3 linked regions of the Xenopus tropicalis genome follow. The protein of the gene in region 2 purifies or fractionates together with the protein of the main gene of each other region. This does not show direct contact. Links are inferred from orthologs where the notes say so. Each region holds a gene or a part of one and is shown on either strand. Other genes may lie near its edges.

Region 1 (3,753 bases), on a different chromosome or scaffold from region 2:
GGATAGTATTTATTATGGACTAACACCATGTAAACATTTTACTACATTAACTGATAATTTAATAATTAAAATATTTTTTCAGATTTTGGCAGTATTTATCCTATGCATAGGAAACAAGGTTTCAACTGGATTGAAGTCAAAAGGGCTCACTTACAAGAAGTAGGTGCAGAATTGCCAATTTTTTTTTTTAACGTCTTTATTATGATTTAGCATGAAAAGGTTACATTCATATTTATATGCAATGACCGGTCCATCCTCTTTCCTATATCATAGGAGAGAAGGTTTATAGTTGTCCTTTACCTTTCCATCAGGCAAATAAAGTGATTCGATCCTGTTTTTAGAAAACGTGGTAGTAGTATTAAGTAATAATCATACAATATTAACTAGTAACTAATTAACTAGTAAACGTCTGCCTTTATCTTACTTGCCAGAGAACATAAAACGGTAACCTGCTTATACTTGGATAATATGACTATGTTAGTTCATCAGCCAGAATTGCAAATTTTAAACAGCATACGCATATGACCTGCACCTACTTGCACCCAAGCCCTGTGCTTAACATCTGGTTTGACCTGGTGTTATGCAGACCCAGGCTGAGATTCAAAATAGGCCCTAATATTTCAAATACACAAAGGCCCAAACAGCAACTGTCTGTGGGATCTTACAGCAGTTCCTCTGGCATTTGCCAGAATCCACAGACTGGCAGTCTGGGCCTGGTGTTAAAGGAACAGTAACACTAAAAAATAAAAATGTTTTAAAATAATTAAAATATAATTTACTGTTGCCCTGCACTAGTAAAAGTTGCGTGTTTGCTTCAGAAAGACTACTATAGTTAATAGAAATAGCTGCTGTGTAGCCATGGGGGCAGCCATTTAAATTGAAAAAAGGAGAAAAGGCACAGGTTACATAAGAAGATACCAGATAAACTGTGTAGAATACAATGGGAATCTGCTACTTAATTGTTATCTGCTTAGCAACCTGTGCCTTTTCTCTTTTTTTCAATTTAAATGGCTGCCCCCGTGGCTACACAGTAGGGTATTTATATAAACTGCAGTAGTGTTTATGAAGAAAACACACAACTTTTACCAGTGCAAAACAATAGTATATAATATATTAATTATTTTTATACACTTTCATTTTTTGGTGTTACTGTTCCTTTAAGCACTGGGCCTCCTTATGCACTCATAGCCAATCAAGGTTGTGGAAGCTGAACTGCACATGACTGACAACCATGTAAGTGTATGCCTATGCTGCAGGAAGGATGCTGCACTGAGGGGTAATATGGCAAATTGCACTTTTTTGCATTTAGCAGATGAGATCTATAGTTTTAATAATAGGTGTATTCCTTTTTAAAGAAGGGTCTTTCAAACTTATCCCATTTTTAAGATAAAAAATAAAGCTTAGGTGTCTTTTGCCAGCAAAACATACAAATCACATAGAAAATTAATTCATCGGAGTAGTATATATTTTATCTGTACATTTTCATTTATAAAAGCTTTGGATCAGAACTGCAGTTCACCCAGTAAGTATGCTTAGGTAAGGTGCACGTTAGCTGGCAGAATTACCTGTTTGGCAGATGGGGTCATTCCCTGCTGCACCACGATTAAAGCCCTCGTAATGTTCTCCTCCTGCATTCTCTGGCAATACATCTTAATTGTCTTAATGCCAACTTTGGGTTCCTCTACAAATAAGACAGGCAAACATGTAATAATCCTTTGTCTGCATGTATAGACCCTTCAGCCAGTCACTGTTTTTTTTTTTTTTTTTGCACCTACTCACCTGGGAAGAAAACAAACATTTGGTCTGTGGGATCATCATTATGAGCTACTAATACAGTCAGGTCAGTTCGGCGAGGGCGCCCTTCGCTAGGTTTGTCCCCAAACTGGGCTTTAAACTCATCCAGTGTCTGATCCAATTCATCCTGCGTTACTAAGTAACCACGGTCATGGCACAGCTGGCGAAGGAAAGAAGGATGCGAGTGAAACAGGTAATATGGAGACAGATGAGGTAAAGCACAAAAGTAAAAGTGACAGGGACGAAGAGTACAGTAGAAGTATATGCTGGAAGCAGAAATGAATGGTACCCAACACAACGTAGCTGAGTTCGAATTACTGAAAAAGGCGAAGATTATAACACAAAAAGATTTAAAACTCAATTTTCTCACCTGCATAATAGTTTTGCGGATCTTCCACAACCGGTAAGTTTCCTCCTCATCGTCCATGTTGTCTCCACGAGACCAAACAGGAAGAAGAGCGCGATTTCCGGAGCTCGGCTCCCTGGGCTGCAGGAGGACCCTACATGGGCTGCCCTCACTCTGCCTGATGGCTACAAGCGAATACTGCTGTGGGGTATCTCTGAGGACGTGTTATTAGCTTAAAACTGCACTGTGGAAAAGGAATAAAGTTGCGCATAATATCGTTTCCCTTTTTTGCTGAAGGTGGCTATTCGGGTTGTAGAATTTGTTCAAGTTTCGGTATCACGCTAAGGAAGACCAAAGAAATTGCATCGTCGCAGTTGAAGGGCTCGGCCATGTTTGTGGTAGGCAAGAAGCCGGCGTACATGTTCTTGTAAAGATCACCATTTTGTTGGTGGGTATTACTACCGTTCCTATATTCATCGTCTTCGTGTATTTATATTGCGTCACATAGTTACATGGCGCTCTGCATTAATATTATAAGTGGCTAAGTTTAAGAGTTAACCCTCTAAAGGTATAGGGATTAGTTATTGGCAAAAGAGGGTGTGGTAATGTGCCAATGATAGGCTAACTACAAGAATTACGTAAACTAAATATTCTTTAGAAATACTTGTTAAACTGTTTTAAGGCGAGCAGTGTTTTATTAAGATTTTTTTTTATTTTTGCCCCAAGCCCCATTTTGATATATAATATTATCTTTATGTATGTATATATATTTTTATTTATATAGCACTACTTATGTACCCAGCGCTGTACAGTAGGACAATAAATGAATAGAATAAACGGGACTATTACAATAAAATAAATACAAAGTATGATAGTAAATACAAGGTAAGGATACAATACGTTAAATTAATACTGTCACGGGAAAAACGTATTTTTTAAAAACATATCTGTTAATAGAGCGTCTCCAGCAGAATCCTGCATTGAAATCCATTTTTCAAAAACACAAACTGATTTTTTTTATATTTAATTTTGAAATTTCACGTTGGGCTAGCCATATTCTTCATTTCCCAGGGTGCCACAGTCATGTGACCTGTGCTCTGAACTCACACTTTACTGCTGAGCTGCAAGTTGGAGTGATATGAACCCCCTCCCAGCAGCCAATCGGCAGAATAATGGGAAGGTAGCAAGATAGCAGCTCCCAGTAGATCTCAGAATTGCACTCAATAGTAAGAAATCCAATTCCAGCTTGTGACTCCTTCAGTTATATGGAAGTAGGAGAAACAATAGGTTATCTGAAAGCAGTTCCAATGTGTAGCGCTGGCTCCTTCTGAAAGCTCAGACTTGCACAATGCTGCTTATAGACCAATATTACAGCTAAAAAAATACATTTGTTGGTTCAAGAATAAAATGTTAAATGGTAGACTGAATTATTTGCTATGTAAATAGTGTAATTCAGAAATAAAAAGTATACCATAAAAATCACAACAGTATCCCTTTAACAATCAAAGAGACAAGAGGGTGGACATCTCTGTTTACAATCTAAATGGGAGGGTAACTTACAGACACAATAGGAGGATATTAGTGCTGCAGGTTAAAGTGGGTGACAATGCGAT
Region 2 (3,753 bases):
AGAGGGGTCAACTATGTCTAGACCCTCTTCATTTCCTAAAGCAGGTGGTGCTCGCGGTGACCCACCAAAGTGCTTCCGTTGTGGCCGGTTGGGCCATATATCCCCACACTGTCCGACGCAACGTGAAAATGCTGCAGCTACAGAAGTTATTTCATATGGCTGTGCTGTGAGGAAGCCACCCCAAAAGAGGTATCGGAAGAGACGTAATCAGGTGAGGTGTTACACCTGTGGTTGGTACGGTCATACTTCCCACACCTGTGACTGGGGACGGAATGAAGACTTCACTGATGTATATGTGACATCTTTCCCATGTGAAGTGAATATTTGTGAAGAGAAATCCTGTGGCACGAGGATGGTCTCTGAGCACTCTGGCACCCCCAATAAAAGTAAGAGACTGGGCCTGGGAATGCGTAGACCTTCAGGCAGGGGAAGTGTCAGGGCAGTTAGTGAGGAAGCTTTCCCCTGTGTATCTCCCCCAAAGGTTAGGGAGAATAAGAATGGTGAGAAAGGGCAAGCGAGGACGTTGCCCATTCAAGCAGGGGGAGAATGTAGGGAGGTAGTGCTGGGTCCCTGCACTTACCCCCCTCCTGCTGCTGTTCCCTGTAGGGGAGCTGGCACTGAGACTTTGTGCTGTGAGCTGCTGCCTAGCAACAAGGTGAACAGCAAGCTCAGGGCTGCCGGAAGTTGCAAAGCAGCCTGGGAGAGGAAGTCAGTGGGAGGAGAGAAAAAGCCCCAGAACTCCAGAAGCTGCACGTGGGCTCAGAGAGAGGAGCAGCACAAGAAGAAGCTGGCCTTTGGAACAGGCTGGTACAGGGAAGGCAGACCCTGTACCTGGAGAGACAGAGATCCTGTGAGGAGTCCTGACTGGAGGAACAAACACCTGCAGGGGAATCCCATCTGAGTAGCTAAAGGGGCTAGTAGTCGCACTGCATGGCTGTGAGTGCTGGACTCGCCTGAAGATTCTGTGTGAATCACCCAAAGAGATTCCTGGAGTGAGTATCATTAAAGTGAAAGTAATAAAGGAGCGCTTGAAGATTTAAACTATATAAACTGTTTCTTTTGGGACTGAGCTAAAGGACTGTACATAGTTAGTGAGACAGCTTGCGCTGGCAAAGCTAGTTAGTAAGGCCCTTATTGCCACTTGGATAGGAGTGTTATCTGTATTAGTTTCCCCTTTATTTCAGATAAAAGTTATTTCGTTTATCAAGTACTGTGTGTGCATTATTATTGTTCCTAGTGGGGCCACCCGTAGGTGCACTCCAGGATCCCACTAGGTGGAGGCACTGCGCTAATAAGTACCAGGTACCCAGTCTCTCCCAATACCACTGCGGAGTGATTCAGGTTTGTCCCGTGCCATCAGGTAAGCGCCACTCGTGGAGTGTAACACTGTCAAAGGTGCCAGAAGTGGTGAAGATAGGGTTACAGTATTTCCCCTTAAAGTTTGTCAAATAAGTATCTAGCGGTCAGAACTCCCTATGTATTAATATATATTCAAATGTATTTATTTAGATATTATTTATGAAAGTGTTAGGACACATTTTATAATATATATTTATGATATTAGTGTGCTTTAGCAAGGTAATGCACTTCCACAGGGGAAGTGATTGTGCTGTGGTGTTCTGGGTATTGTGAATTTAGGGTTAAAAGTGTGCCCTTCTATGATGATTTGTTCCCAGAAGGGTAATAGCCAAAAAGGAAGAAAAGCAAGACCTTGGCCACAAACTAGCAAAAATCAGACAAAAAAAAAAATCACAGGTCATATGCGTATATTCAAATGTTCATTTTGGGGGGTGGGGGTAGCAGGTGTATCTATTTACTATGCATTTTATTTAGTATTTATCATAAAACATAAATGATAAGATCACCTTTTTAACTTTGTAAGTCTATTAAACTTACACAATTTAGAGCTAAAAGCCCCAGCCATTACCAGAATATGTTGTTAGCAATTTATACAGATTCATCCCGCACTTAAAAATCAGCGCATTGTACTGTTGCTAATGTAATGTTATCTGCCAATTAGCAATGCTTGGCATACACAAGGCATAAAAAGGCTTCGTAGCCACCAGGACTACACTTACGCCGCTTAAAACCATATTTCTATCACTTCAGAAGACCTCATTATACCTTGCGATTAACGTTGTGCACATAAGGGCAGGTATTACAGGCAAACCTGTAGCACTTCTGTCCCTCCTCCACGATCAGCACATTCCCACACGTCGGGCAAAATAGCAACATTGCTGCTAACAGATTAGCTCAAACTTCGCATCAACCACTTCATCCTCCAGACGCCAGTACCGCTGCCTAAGCAGAATGATCACCACGCGTTTGCCCTAGCCTCGCATTCACCTACATTACATCTTATTGCGCACGTTTCCGCCCGGTGATGACGTCTTTAATGGGCGCCCTAGAAATCTGCGACAGTTCCATTTGTAACTTGAATGAAACGGTGTGAACTAAAGGTGGGTAGTGGAAATTGCGTTGAAAAACTTAACTCGAAATTCTAAATTTCTACATTTAAGTCCAGCTCCCAAAAACTGATAACACGAGAAGAGCAATTTTTGCAAAGCAAAAGCAGAACTAGAAGTCTTGCAGCCATTTAAGTTGAAAAGGAGAAAAGGCACAGGTTTGGATATCATATAACATATATGCTCTGTAATAAAATGCAGTGGTGGTATATTCGTGTTAATCTGGTATCTGCTGTGTATCCTGTGCCTTTCTCCTTTTTTTATCTTGAAGTGCTTCCTCCATGGCTGCATAGAAGCTTGTTTATATAAACTATTTATATTCTTATTTATATACGGCTGATGCCGCATGGAAACCCGCATGCAGATAATCAGTCCCTCCGCTGACAGCCTCCTACCTTGCCTGCACCAGAAACTATTGGGCTGGCCTGGGTGCAGGCACACATGGCAGATATCAGCAAAGAAACTGTAAATTTAGCATTTTAGAGTGGATATTCATATTGTATGCTTGCACCTGGGCCAACGCAGTGGTTTGACCTGGAAAAGTAGGAGGCTGATGCCCAAGGAACTGATTCTTGGCCTGTGGTTTTTCATGTGCTGAGAATCAACCCCACATGGTATAAGCATTACAGTACTTATGTACGAAGCACTGTACAGCAGAGCATCTAATTGATAGAACCAGGGCCACCATCAGAAATCGCGTTCTTATAGTAAAACGGTGGTGTGTATTTCTTTTTCTCAGGCTTTGACCAGTCTCTCCTATATACAGTCCTCCTGTTCAGTATCTAGTGCACTGTATTAAGTACACCATATTGGAAGAAGAACAGTTGTACTGACCATGGATGTTGTATTCCTCTAATGTGTCTGAAATCTGAATTACAGATGTGTGGGCAGGTTTTGCATTGTTTTTTTGCCACAGGGATAAGTTCCTTTTTTGTTGGGTTGAATTAAGGCACTTCTTGTTATTAGTTGTTTTAGGTTTGGGGGCTGCCTGAATGCCAGAAGTGGTGGGTCTGGGAATATGTTTTGGAGCCTCTCATCCTTTTGAGGTGTACACTGTAGATCCTTGGCTATTTTTCTGAGGGTCTTTTGTTGGGGATCGTATGTGACAACTAGAGGAATTCAATTTATTTCTGTTTTTTGTTTGTATTGTAGAAGTTGACTTCTGGGAATCCTGGTGGCTGTATGGATATATTGATCCACAATCCTTGGGTTGTAGCCCCTGTTAATGAAATCTGCCATGAGTGTTCTTAGGTGGTGGTCCCTTTCAGTAGCATCAGAACATATTCGA
Region 3 (3,753 bases), on a different chromosome or scaffold from region 2:
TCTCAGTACAAGTGAAGGAATACAGGGGTATGAGAGATAGCTCTCAGTACAAGTGAGGGAATACAGGGGTAGGGGAGATAGCTCTCAGTACAAGTGAGGGAATACAGGGGTAGGGGGGATAGCTCTCAGTACAAGTGAGGGAATACAGGGGTAGGGGAGATAGCTCTCAGTACAAGTGAGGGAATACAGGGGTAAGGGAGATAGCTCTCAGTACAAGTGAGGGAATACAGGGGTATGGGAGATAGCTCTTAGTACAAGTTGCCCCAGGGACGGGTCCGATTGCCATCTTGGAGTCAGGAAGGAATTTTTTCCCCTCTGCGGCAAATTAGAGAGGCTTCAGATGGGGTTTTTTGCCTTCGTCTGGATCAACTAGTAGTTAGGCAGGTTATATATAGGCATTATGGTTGAACTTGATGGATGTATGTCTTTTTTCAACCCAACTTACTATGTTACTATGTTACAGTAGAACAGCCCCTTCCTACTGGTTTGCCCTGCTCCCATGTACAGTAGAACAGCCCCTTACTAATGGTTTGCCCTGCTCCCATGTACAGTAGAACAGCCCCTTCCTACTGGTTAATAAATTTCTCCAGCAGGGGCAGAGCAGCCAATCAGAGAGAAACTATAACTCCCAGAGGGAGCAGTAACTGTTCTTTCACTCTAACTCCCAGAATTCCTGCTATTAAAACTACTATTCCCAGAATGCCCTGACAGCCGCTACAGCCAATCGGTGGCAGGTCCCTGTAGCCCCTCCCTCGCAGTGTCAGACGCTCAGGCAGTTCTGCAGAGTCCAATCCAGAGGTTTCTTATCCTCCCACGCCAGTCTCTGGGCCGAAAGCAGCGAAGCATTTTGGGAAGCCACCGCCCCCTTCCCTCTCCCCGGTACAGCTTTGCGTTCCAGATTCCCAGGCGCCTGCTGATTGCGTCATAGCGACTCACTTCCGGCAGGCTCATCGTGGGCTCCCAGTACACACTTCCGGTTGCCGTGGTTGCCATGGAGCAGTTTGGGGGCCCGCAGAGAGTGTTGTCCTACCTGCAGGAGGTGGAGGGGAGAGCGGAGGATGTGCTGGGGAAGCGGCGGCAGGTGGGGCCGGGGGTAACATGGGGGCCGGGGGGTAACATGGGGGCCGGGGGGTAACATGGGGCCGGGGGGTAACATGGGGGCCGGGGGGTAACATGGGGGCCGGGGGGTAACATGGGGGCCGGGGGGTAACATGGGGCCGGGGGTAACATGGGGGCCGGGGGTAACATGGGGCCGGGGGGCTGGGGGTAACATGGGGCCGGGGGTAACATGGGCACCGCTGGGTAGTAAGGGTCACTGCTCTGTATAACTGTGTGTCATTCTGTCCCAGATTGTGGATTTGGATATAAAGAGAAACCAGAACAGAGAAGCCCTGAGGTCTCTCAGCAAGGACCCCTCTCCAGCAGGTAAGTGAGAGGCACTGGGGGGCTGCAAGGACCCCTCTCCAGCAGGTAAGTGAGAGGCACTGGGGGGCTGCAAGGACCCCTCTCCAGCAGGTAAGAGGCACAGGGGGGCTGCACCTTGCCAGCAGGGTAAGTAGGCAGCACAATACGCTATGGGGGGGAGTGAGGGTGAGATTGCAGGGAGGAAAGGGCTACTCCAGGGAAAAAGCCAGCCCTTAGCGCTACACTCTATTGCCCACAGCCAAGGGGTCCTTGGTGTCTGGAAGCCAAAGCCACTGCTGGAGACAGGAAGGAAGTGATGGTACCCCGTAATGTGTGTCATGTGACTCATTTAGAACAAACATAAATACTGGCACAACAGGGCTGTTTCAGCGGGATGAACCCTGCTATCTTATTAGGTGCAAACCATGTACAGTTTCGGGGTGCGCCCCTTCATGCGACTTCCAAACATTACATGGTTTGCACCCCGTAAACTAGCAGGGTTCATGAAACAGCCGTGTTGTGCCCGTGTTTATGTTACAGCAAAGGCTGCCAATCACTCGATACTCAGCACCAGGCAGAATGTATGTGCCAAGGCCAGGGTGTACCGGTGAGTGTTACAGTTCATGTTACTAAGTTAGCACAGGTTGCAGGGATCAAAAATGCTCCAACTGAGCAAGGATTGGGTTAACGGTCTGAACTCTTTGTGCTGCCAGCTTGTCATTCCTTTTTGAGAAAGAACAGTTGTTAAGTGCCCCAATGGGTTCCTTTCTGTCTGTGCTTGTAGGAAGGGTAACTGTCTGCTTTGGGAACATGTTCATAGAGCTCCCCAAGAGCAAGACCAAGGAGATCATAGAGCGAGGTGAGTGTGGGGGTACATAGAGTGAGTGTGGGGGTACATAGAGTGAGTGTGGGGGTACATAGAGTGAGTGTGGGGGTACATAGAGTGAGTGTGGGGGTACATAGAGTGAGTGTGGGGGTACATAGAGTGAGTGCGGGGGTACATAGAGTGAGTGCGGGGGTACATAGAGTGAGTGCGGGGGTACATAGAGTGAGTGCGGGGGTACATAGAGTGAGTGCGGGGTTGATGGCAGGAAGGGGAATCACAATGTGTGTTTGTACCATTCTCTCCCACAGACCAAGAGCAGCTGGATAAAGAGATTTCAGGGCTTCGCAGGGAGCTGAAAGTGAAGGTGAAAGAGCTGTACGAGGCCCAAGGTGAGACTCAATAACACAATCTATTAGACACCCCCCCACCAATGATGCAAATTTGGCCCAGTTTCATTATTGATACTCTCTGAGCCCATCAGTAGGGTGAGCAGTGCTCCCCAAATAACACAGACTTGTACCCACACAGTGAGAGTTACATGGGTACAGGCTGGCCCTAGTGCTGAGGTTCATGTTCGCACAGGATGACCCCATTGCTACTATTGGTTCTGGCTTGGCACCAAGACTCTCGTGTTTCTGTTGGCAGGAAAGCCAGAGCTAAAAGGCTTCGACCTGGTGGCACTCTCGACAGAAGAGATGAAATCCATTCAGAAGGCGCTGGGAGAATGAGGCTCTGCTAGATAACAGCATTTGGGGCAGATCATCCTTATCTTGGGCCCTCACAGCGCAGGGACTTTAGTTCCTACAGTACGGATCTATCTGAATCAGATGAAAGAACTTATAGTGCAACATGAATGTTACCCCCAGGTGCAGAACCTCTAATTCATTACAATTTGATTAACTCCTTGTTCCTTGGATTTATGTACAGTGCAACTTAGAAGACACTTAGCCTTTAATTCTGAGGAGCAAGGTGCAATTGCCATATTTAGGGGTTAATTTATCTACTGCTTCTTTTCTAACTGGATTCAGTTCATCCCACAATCCTGTGTATTTGTACTGTGCATAGACTGGATGGCTCTACCCACTGGTATCCTTGGGGCTCACGCCTGCACCCCGGATGTTATTTGAATCATATGGGTGTGGCTCACTGAGGCCCCACTAGCTGGAGGGCACACACAAAGGTTGGACTGAGCTGGGAATCCCCATCCACCATCTTATCTGAGCTTTGTACCTATAACTCTAACACTCCTTAACACGTTATATCTGATGGGCTCTGCATGGCAGGCTTTGTGGTGGCCCCCTGCAGGGCCCAGTCTTTGCTTTGTTGGAGGGAATAAAGCTAGGGTACCTGTCAGGACTGTGCGTAAATATCTGTACCCCATTATATAGTAAAGAATAAGTGATTAACCCCATTGCTGCTGAGCTGCTAGTGACACAGTCACAGAAGTGCTGGCAGGTCACCATGAGCCCGTCAGAATGGTTGCTGTGTAACCAGAACTCATGTCTCCTAGAGGACTTTAGGCC

Evidence for each region.
Region 1: the proteins of polr3k (region 2) and polr2e purify together in Homo sapiens (affinity purification with mass spectrometry; 5 studies listed by BioGRID and IntAct, counting the BioPlex papers as one, with this or other methods). This does not show direct contact. The link is inferred for Xenopus tropicalis from reciprocal best matches to the Homo sapiens genes POLR3K and POLR2E.
Region 3: the proteins of polr3k (region 2) and pdrg1 purify together in Homo sapiens (affinity purification with mass spectrometry; 3 studies listed by BioGRID and IntAct, with this or other methods). This does not show direct contact. The link is inferred for Xenopus tropicalis from reciprocal best matches to the Homo sapiens genes POLR3K and PDRG1.

The regions. Positions count from the first base shown.
Region 1 is NC_030677.2:100,197,301-100,201,053, forward strand, and holds the start of polr2e (DNA-directed RNA polymerases I, II, and III subunit RPABC1), read right to left. Parts: upstream 2,232-3,753; 5' UTR 2,222-2,231; coding exon 2,165-2,221; intron 1,955-2,164; coding exon 1,780-1,954; intron 1,682-1,779; coding exon 1,566-1,681; intron 1-1,565. UniProt on the Homo sapiens protein: DNA-dependent RNA polymerase catalyzes the transcription of DNA into RNA using the four ribonucleoside triphosphates as substrates.
Region 2 is NC_030685.2:40,340,916-40,344,668, reverse strand, and holds the start of polr3k (DNA-directed RNA polymerase III subunit RPC10), read right to left. Parts: upstream 2,270-3,753; 5' UTR 2,236-2,269; coding exon 2,125-2,235; intron 1-2,124. Other genes in the region: snrnp25 (U11/U12 small nuclear ribonucleoprotein 25 kDa protein), read left to right, coding at 2,439-2,459. UniProt on the Homo sapiens protein: Core component of RNA polymerase III (Pol III) which synthesizes small non-coding RNAs using the four ribonucleoside triphosphates as substrates. Can mediate Pol I proofreading of the nascent RNA transcript.
Region 3 is NC_030679.2:29,807-33,559, reverse strand, and holds the start of pdrg1 (p53 and DNA damage-regulated protein 1), read left to right. Parts: upstream 1-960; 5' UTR 961-991; coding exon 992-1,081; intron 1,082-1,349; coding exon 1,350-1,425; intron 1,426-2,188; coding exon 2,189-2,263; intron 2,264-2,538; coding exon 2,539-2,619; intron 2,620-2,875; coding exon 2,876-2,958; 3' UTR 2,959-3,753. UniProt on the Homo sapiens protein: May play a role in chaperone-mediated protein folding.